2 linked regions of the Drosophila melanogaster genome follow. The protein of the gene in region 1 interacts with the protein of each later gene in a pairwise test. Each region holds a gene or a part of one and is shown on either strand. Other genes may lie near its edges.

Region 1 (4,749 bases):
TATTGCTCTTTTTTGAATTAACATTTTTACATCTATTTTGTGCCTTACTTACGTTTTTCTATAAACATATCGATAGCACAGCTGTTTCCTCTTGCGCATCTCTAATCACGTTTACGTAAATTTCAGAAGAGCAGCAACAAGATGTCTAGAAATTTGTTTTTATCAATTACAAACTTTATTAGGAACTTAGAGAGCTTGTTCCTGCCACATGGAGGACACCCTCCTGGTGAGAAGCACCAGCCCAAGATAAAGTTACCCTGACTTACCCACTTTTTACACAGCTTTAGCGTTGGCCGGTTTTCAGCATGATCACAGCCCTAAATCCTCCCAGGAATTCAGTTTGAAGCAGCTTATTGGCGACGGATTGCTGTGGGCTGTTCCGAAGCACAGAAGATCCGTGGAGAAACGCCTGAAGCGGAAGTTCGGATATCCGGAATACAACTGGAAGCCTTTGAGGGAGAAGAGAAACCTCCGCTCCTGTCTGCAATGTGGCCATGACCACGAGATGGGAGTTCTTTGTCGTAAGTAGCCTTAAAAGTATACAAAGAGGTAGCCACCTTTAATGTTGCTCTTCCAGCCTTCTGCTACCAAAAGGTCCTGAAGGAGACTGAGCTCATGCAGTCGAAAATCCAGGAGACACTCGGTCTAGATCCCGTGGACAAGGAAGTAATCGTTCTTTATGAAGGCGAGAAGGCCGAACAGTCCACAGATGATCTGAAAAACAAGCGCATCGTGGAGATGAAGAAGCCTCGTCCCATGTGGTTCACCAAGAATCTGCTCCAAAAATCCACGCAGCAGCTGTCCGAAACCAAGGAAGTCAAGCCCTCCGACTTGGCCTAGATACTAAGCATCCATTGTGCATTAAATCCACACGTTCGTTATCAAATCGATGCTATTTTATTCTCTGTGAAGGATAAGGACCTTGCTTGCTTCAGGAATCCGTTGTTAAAGTCCTGGGCACTCATAGGTTTTCTACCTTCCACGCGTAACTGAAGCACTTCCAACTGACTCTGCTGAGCACATCCGATTATGAGGGATCTCGACTTCCTTAGGTAGCTGATGGCACCAGGTTCTTGGACGGGAACTCTCTTCTCCGGTAATCGCAACTCCAGCAACTGCACTTGCTTGCCCAAAAAGTTGGTTGTAAGGTTTTTGTAGCCATACAAAGCTCGATGACGAGTGTATATTTCAATGGCACTCAGCTCGGACCAGATAATTTCTGTGATTTTACTGGTAATCTTGGGAGCTGAAGGCAAAAATATAGTTTATATAGGTTCTCGAAGTGCTTAGATATGCTTTACCATAGCTGACCCTTGAACTATCTTGGGGTTTGGCTTCCTTAAGTCTTACTGATAGGTTGTTAATAGTATCCACAAGTAACTCGGCTCCTAGCGACGCCAAAGATGCATGCAGATCCGGCATGAAGACATCGGGATTAATAGCCACTTCTCGCTGAGCTAAAATCTAAAGCATAAGTCGTCAATACTACTGCATACAATGGTAAGATAAGAATGAACTTACATCACCGATATCGAACCGGTGAGGTTCGATTTTCATGATGGAAACTCCAGTGCTGGCATCTCCCTTCATGATGGCGTATATGATGGGAGCAGCTCCCCGCCATTTGGGTAACAAACTAGCGTGAACATTGATCATCCCATAAGGAAATCCATTGATGATACTACCAGGAATCAGGTGGCCAAAGGAGACCACCACACCCAGATCAAATTGCGGACACACAGAAGGATCTATGGGCCACTTTTGCAGGGGAAGCTTCTCCTTTTCCGCGTAGGTCCTCACACAGTTGGCGGGACTTTTGAAGGAGGTAACAACTCCCAAACGATCACTAAGAAAAATATTCTTATTAATCCAATTTAACATTATTGTTTAAAACATTTTACCCGCAGTTTTTGTGTAGCGCCTGTAAGCTGGGCAAGGAAAAATTGTCGGTACCGAAAAAGAGAATTTTTGGAGGGTGGTAAGTTCCCTTGCAGCGCTGTGCAATTGGGATTACATTCTGCCACACTTTTCTCTTATATTTGTAAAAATTATTGACTAAACTCTTGCCGCAAAACATCGGAAAATTTGTTGGATAATAATGCAGCGTAAACAAAAACAGCTGTTCGCGATACCAGCTGGTCACTCTACCAAATAACGTAATAGGAATGCTGAGATAGAGTGAAACCTGTTGAACCTATCGTCTTCAACCATGTAAATGGTGGTCTAACTTTATAAGATCAAGAGTCGTTATTTTTGTTTAAGTAATTAAACTTAGCTCAATACATTACTTTACTTTTATTTATCTGTCTTCAGTGACTATAGACTATCGGTATAGTGTATATTATTTTTTTAAGTTCATCGCACGGTCATACTAATGAGAACGCAATAAAAATTTGGAAAATCAAACATCTACAGGAAAACGTATATTTTTGGGATCAAGTGCCAAGGAACTCCAATACTGCAGAATGGAGGCATCTGCTGCCAAAATCACGCCTATGGCCAGTTCCATGTCCGCTTCCGGATCCACAAACTCCCCCTCCAGTGAAAAAATGAACTACGCACTGCAAGTGGCGCTGCAGACGATCAAGGAGCGGTGCATCCAGCTGCAGCGCCGCGTGGCCAGCATGGAGGAGGAGAACCAGCAGCTAAGGGAGGCCTCCAGCAGGTCGGAAGGTGCTCCAAGGGCAAACGAAATCGGGGTCACTGGGGACGTCCTCTCTCTGAAAGCACAGGTCTCTGAGCTGCAGCGCCAAAAGGAGCAGCTGGAGGAGCACATTGGCATGGTATCCAACGAGAACAGACGGCTCTGGTCCCGCCTATCGCAGATCTCCAAGGATCAGCAGCTGAACGCACTGCCCAGCTCAACAGACTCGCGAGCCCAGCAAAACCAGAACCTGGTGCGCTCCAAGACCTTTACGCAGCACTCCCCCAATCCTCACCTTCGCCAAAAGATGCTCTCCGACGGCATTAAGGATCTCAGTCTGGAGGAAATAGCCCTGGATGACTTCGGTGCCAGCAGTGAGGAACTAGGTTACCCCTACAACCTGCAAAAGGTGGAGGAAACCACTAGTGAACCAGATGCCAATGTGGATGCCAAAAGATGTTTGGATGGACTGCAGGAGCTGAGGCGAGAGGCCATGAAGCAGCAGCAGGAGCTCAGATCGGTAATGACTCTGCTAGAAAATCGCATAGGTAAGCAACAAAATGGAATTCATGCTATAAAAAAAATAACTTTTAACGCCTGTTTTATGTGCAAGCAGCACTCAAGCCCTGTCCGGAATGTGCCCAGAAAACCATCAAAAAACCGGAGATGGCCGACAAAAGTCTGGAAACGGACGACAGCCTGACCAGCGAGCTGAAGAACTATGAGAGCCAACACAATGGACACAATGGCACGCCGCCCAGCCAGAGAATTAACATAATACAAGAGAAAATCAAAGCAGATGCAGCCGACGCAATGGAGAAGACCTGCCCTATGTGCGGCAAGCAGTACTCCAGCCAAGTGTCCTTCAATGCGTTCCGCGAGCACGTCGAGATGCACTTCATCGACGATGCACTGGAACTGGAGTCGGAGAACAGCATTGAGCGCCAGTTTGAGTTCGTTTCCCATGCTGTGGGTGACTTCTGACCCAGTAGGCGCATTTATTTCGCCACCGAACTCTGACCTGACCGGAGAAATCCAAGGATTAAGGAGCAGTTTGACTGCGCAGGAGCCGCTTGTTACGTTTCTATTGATAAGACGTTAGGGCGATCATGTATCAAAACTATACAACATTGAACTTTAAGAAAAAATATATATATATTGTATTATAATTGCGGAGAGTGCATGAATATATAGATGTAAGTGACCGAATACGAAATACAGTTTAAATGAAAAGCCTGAAAACATGTTGAGCGCTCTCTTCGGTTGGTTGGAAAGTGAAATCGTGGACCGTGGACAACATAAATATTATATTATTAGCGCTGACAAATATTGTAATATCAAAGATGACGATCGATGTTACCATCGCTTGTGGTCATTATCCGATCTAATTGGCAGCTTTTCTGTGAGTCACACACTTTGGGGGAAGAGTGGAACATTCGACAAAGAAGTTTGGCTTGAGGCCATTATGCTGTAACTGGTCAGAGGATTTCCCTGTTTTTTTGGCTATGACGTAGTCGAAACCCGACTGGCAACGTGTGCCTAATCGGGCTGATCCAGTCATTCAATGCGAATATTTGCCAAAATATTGACCATAAGATTTGCCATTGATAGCAATACAAATGCAAATGCTCAGAGCTAACTTTCTTTTAATGCATTTGGAGTGGGTCGCAGCAGGAATTTAGCTTAAGGAAACATTTTAATTTGCCTATGCTAATAAGTTTGATAAATAAATATTTTTAAGACACAGGCACGTGGCAGCTCCCGTGGATACTTTATTACGTTACTATGAAATGCTCAGATAATGAAACAAATTATCAAATCTGGTGCTTATCTACAAGTCGTATAACTGGTAACCCCACCCATTCACCAACCAATGTGCATAGAATTTGTAAGAGTTCAAGCAACTTTTGTTAGATCTTTTCCGCATTTCCAACTAATACTGGGTTTTCCTAGCTCTCATGGTCTATATATTGCGATCCATCCATTTATCATTTCGAAAACCCAGCGCTGCAATTAGTCTGCCACTTGTTGCTACCGTTTGGGGCTAATCACGCGCCACTTAGGTGTCGAATTCAGATCCGATCCGATTCCATTCCGACTTCCCC
Region 2 (4,499 bases), 5.1 Mb from region 1:
TTGCTTTCAGTGTGAATACACGCTGCCAAATAAAAGAAGACTCAAGAAGATGGCGCCCACCATATGCTCGGAGAAAAAGCAGCTGCGCGAAACGCGGCGACATCATGGCGTGGCCACAGCCGCCATTTCATCAGCATCCGCAACCGCATCCACCGCATCATCGTCCTCGTCCTTGTCCGTGGGATCCACATCTGCAGCTGCCGCCACACAAGCTAGTTCGGTGCTCAACCATGGTGAGTAAACACTGAGATTACTCAGTAAAATGTAGTAGCGAAAATACAATAGTTCGCGTTAGGTTTAATATTCTTATTTTATTAGTTTCACACGACTGTATTACATTCAAATTTTAATTAATTTAAGCGCAATTAAATCTATCTCTCATTTATAATTTATCATATATAGAAGCTTAAGTCAATTTTGTTCAGTGCCAATAGCTTGCGGTGGGCGCACGCGGCGTATACGTAACATAGCCTTACATATTCATTGCAATATCCGCCTTGTCTCTTATCTGTTTTACTTTATTTTTTTTTTTTGGTATACCCTTTATATTCAGAATCCCCTGCTGATTTGCTGATGTCGTTGGTGTTGTGACTGTTACAAGTCCATTTCCCAGTTGCCAGTTGCCGAGCTGCTCACGTTACTCGGTCATGTTTAATTAATTTATGTAAACTCGGCCACCCACCTCCGTTCTCGGAGGTCTGTCCTCGTTTCCCACTTCCTCATTGCCATATAACCATGCATATGTGTGGCTCGACTAGAGAACTGGAATGCTCAAATGCACGTGCCATGGGCGATGGGCGATGGGCGTTTTGCGATGGGTTCACAATTGGGTTCGCATCGGGTTCTTCACGTGTTGGTCTCCGGTGTTTCATTGATGCTAATACTGCCAATGTTGCTCCATGGAAGGCACGCGAGTTTGGTGTTATGCCACAACAATTTGCGTCAGCAATTGGCTCCAGCTGCTCTTCCGCCGGCATTGGCTGTTGGGTAAGACAGACTCGGCTCGCAAATCTGGCTGACACATTTATATAAGCGATCTAATGCCGCATGACTGCCACCGAAATGGATATGGGCTCAGTGGGATGCAATGGGTATCGAGTAGCAGGCGAGAAGGCAAGACAGTTTATCAAGTATCTAAAAATAGAAATTTTCAGATCAAGTCGATTTAAAATATATGGATTATTATTAAGATTAATTCGAGATTAAACAGACAACAAACCGCGTTCTGGAGATCATTGCTCAAATTTAGAGCAACAATTAGAAAGAAATTTAAAAGATACTTGCAGAGTCTTTAGAATATTTTACACATCCCAGTCAAATGATGCCCACTGATTACTCATTAGCCAAGTGCAATTGCCCGAACATTTTCTTAGATATTTTCCAAGAAATATTTCACAAGCACACGTAGCCAGGGGCGTCGGCCTGCGGGGCTTCCACATAAGTGTGTGTCATAACCTCCAGTGTTGTTATTGCTGCTGTGCCACTTTTGCCGGAGCTTTATTTACATGTTTTGCACATTTACTTCGCTTGCTTTTAGCCAAGTTTGCTATTTTTTTTCTCTTTGCTGCTGGTGCCATTTCCAAAGTGAATTCATTGAAAGCACCACTGTTGTTGCTGCCTTTTTATTTGTGCTCGTTGCTGCCTGCTAATTTGCAGCAACACATAAAAATAAACTGAAAGAAATACACCGACACAAGCCTTAAATAAAAATGGGTGTGACGAGGCCACGTGCAAGCCTCATGACGCTACAAATTCAAAACCCCCCAAACTCGTCAGCCTTCCCTGGGGAGGCGGCGTTCGAAAGGGGCGTGGCAGCCGGAGGGTTGGAATGTTGGCCAATGCCCTCGCCCTCTGCCATCACTGAAGGTATTTAACATTTTATTTCCATTTTAGCATCACCGGTGACTAATTCACAGAGAACGAAGCGAGGCACGTGCAATGGCGCGGCGATGACGAGGCAAGAGAACTCCAGTACTTTTAAAGTGTGTGAATAGAAGTTAGATACAGCCCAATGTTAGATACACACTATCAGTGTGGTTTTAAAATGGGTTAAGTAAATAGTTTGTTCTTAATATTGAAGTATCTTTTAGATAACTTAAATTTCTGTTGAGCAACTGCAATTTTTTATTCCAAGCCCAAGGCGCAAGCGAAAAACTCGATTAGTTTCATTAGTTAGTTTTTTACGAGAAACCCATTTTAATTCAAATGAAGTTACTAACTGTCAACCATAGTAGTAGGAGATTTTTGATTTCACTCGCATGAAAATTAAAGTACAAAACAGGAACAGAGTTCTTTCTTAGTCATGGAACTTGAAAACGTTAAAAGTTTGGGGGAAATTGCTAAATGTGCAAAGATGCCATTAAACGAAATGGATCTCATATCCCGAACTTCGAAATGTGGAAAAAGTGTTTTAGAAATCTTCGACGTCGATGAGAAGGTCAGTTTCTCATATGATGGAGGTGAGGAGGAAGAAATGGATATTCTCGATCGTTCAGAGCAGTCTGATGATCGACCAGTGAAAATGGCACACGATATTGACTGCCTGATTCGACAGATTGAGCTTATGCAAATAGCGATTAGGAAGCGTCAAGTTAAGAAGTGCAGCGAAGAAATTAGCGAAGAAACTGCTGAAATAGAAATAGAAGCCGGTGCTCAAGTAAAGTGCAAACAGCGGAAAAACCAAGGAATCGACATTAAGATTAAGGAAAAGTCTGTAGCCATTTGTCCGAATAACCAACCTTTGTGCGGCAATGAATTGCTGGAAGCCAGGAGTCTTCGTCAGGCCCACAATCGCATTCAATTGCAAATAGACGAACTGATCTGCAGGTATAGGAAACTCCGCGAAATCATCCACCAAATGCGCGAAAGGATTCGCTGCATGGAAGGCAATCTTATAGATTTAAATTCTGAAGCCGTTAAGTATGTAGCTTGGTCCAGCGAAGTTTCCAAGGAACTGAAGTTGTGCCAGGAGCGATACAATTACCTTGTCAATGCCAAGATGTCCAAAGCGGATGCAAAAAAACTAGACCACGCTCACACCACACGATTCCTTAAACAAAATGCAGCTTGCCTTTCCAAAAGTCGTCTAAAGCGCGAAATCGCTGATTTCAATGGCGAGGTCAAGGATCTTGTGAATCTAATGAGTGAATTGCACAAGGAACTGGATCGGAATATGGCTGTTTTCGAATCACGGCATTCGAATTTTCTTGATGATCCAGAAGAGTTTCTATCATCCTTGACTGTGACGGTTAGACTATCCGATGAGTTCCGGAAGTCACAAATGAAACTTGAAGACAGCGCCAATTAGAATTTGATCATTAAAATAGCTTTATTTATTGTTAAGGGAAATATTTCATATTAGCACCATTATTTCGACCAAAAATTACTAATAATAAAAATATATAAATCGGTCTTCGTATTAAAAACAATAAAAATAAATTACGTAAAATGGACGTAAAATGTTTCTGGCGCAGGAAGTCCCTGATGATGTGTTAGCCCGCTTCGCACAATACGTCATCGACTTTCTCTCATTTCCTTTCACCTTTCACGAGGGCGTCATTAGTTGGCTGCTACCTTCACGGAGCCAATCTCACGTTTCGCTGCACTGGGGCAAGGTGTCGTTATCACGTAAGCTCTATTTGGCCAACCTGACAACGACTTCGTTCCAATTTTAGCGATTCCTCGGGTGCAGTGCCATGTGCAGCGTAAACTTCTAGGAGATGCGTCATGACCCTGACCATAGACACAGTCTATTTCCAATCGTTGTGTGCAGGAATTATGCGCTTACATACAGATATGAGGTATACATATTCATTAGAGAATTGTAACTTTATGTGTACATGCTTATTCCAAATGAATTGTGTAGAGCCAGCTAATGAAAATTATAATATATTCTTTGTTCATTACATTTTTTAATTGCAGAAATATTTTTGTTTGTATGACCTACATTTCATTTTCTATATGTAAGGCACATTTAGCTTTATATATTTTTGGTTGTGTTTCATTTTTCGTGACTTTCAACAGCTGATGTTTGCAATGAGCGTTGCGACTGCTAATTGGTGCAAAAAGCGTTGTCGTCGCCGGAACGCTTAACCCTGGTGCTGGTCACGTTTTTTGCCCACACGCGATGACCACATTTACATACCAGATACCCACACAGAGACACATGCACACAGACAATGTTGTAGACATCGACTGATTAGCTAAGCACTTGACCACACAACTGCACCGTGGGCTCGGAAAATCGCTGTGCTTTTAGTTTTTTTTTTTCTAAATCAGGAAACGAGTTTAATTTTAAACTTCATTAAATGGGTTAAAATCATTGTATTTCGCTTACGTGCAACAATTTGTAGACAATGTATAAAAACGAGGTCATGTTATTAAATTGCCTGAGTTCGCTCACGAGCTTTGAGCTGCGAATTACACACTCAAATGATTAATTAATTAAAGTTAATTATTAGCTATATTATTAATTGTTTTACAAAAATTAGACATGATTT

What was found. Proteins that work in one complex are often made in the same cells at the same time.
Region 2: the proteins of spn-F (region 1) and CG14556 interact in a two-hybrid assay, tested with the Drosophila melanogaster proteins (one large-scale study listed by BioGRID).

What each region holds. Positions count from the first base shown.
Region 1 is NT_033777.3:31,252,778-31,257,526, forward strand, and holds spn-F (spn-F), read left to right. Parts: upstream 1-2,349; 5' UTR 2,350-2,465; coding exon 2,466-3,192; intron 3,193-3,260; coding exon 3,261-3,628; coding exon of another isoform or gene 3,629-3,664; 3' UTR 3,665-3,882; downstream 3,883-4,749. Other genes in the region: mRpL32 (mitochondrial ribosomal protein L32), read left to right, coding at 142-226, 282-521, 578-840; CG1750 (uncharacterized protein), read right to left, coding at 882-1,246, 1,302-1,464, 1,522-1,846, 1,902-2,077. UniProt on the Drosophila melanogaster protein: Plays a role in oocyte axis determination and microtubule organization during oogenesis. Also required for polarized organization of the bristle. Required, with jvl, for activation of the kinase IKKepsilon in the germ line.
Region 2 is NT_033777.3:26,124,425-26,128,923, forward strand, and holds CG14556 (uncharacterized protein), read left to right. Parts: upstream 1-2,234; 5' UTR 2,235-2,302; coding exon 2,303-3,307; 3' UTR 3,308-3,444; downstream 3,445-4,499. Other genes in the region: Cipc (clock interacting protein circadian), read left to right, coding at 50-233.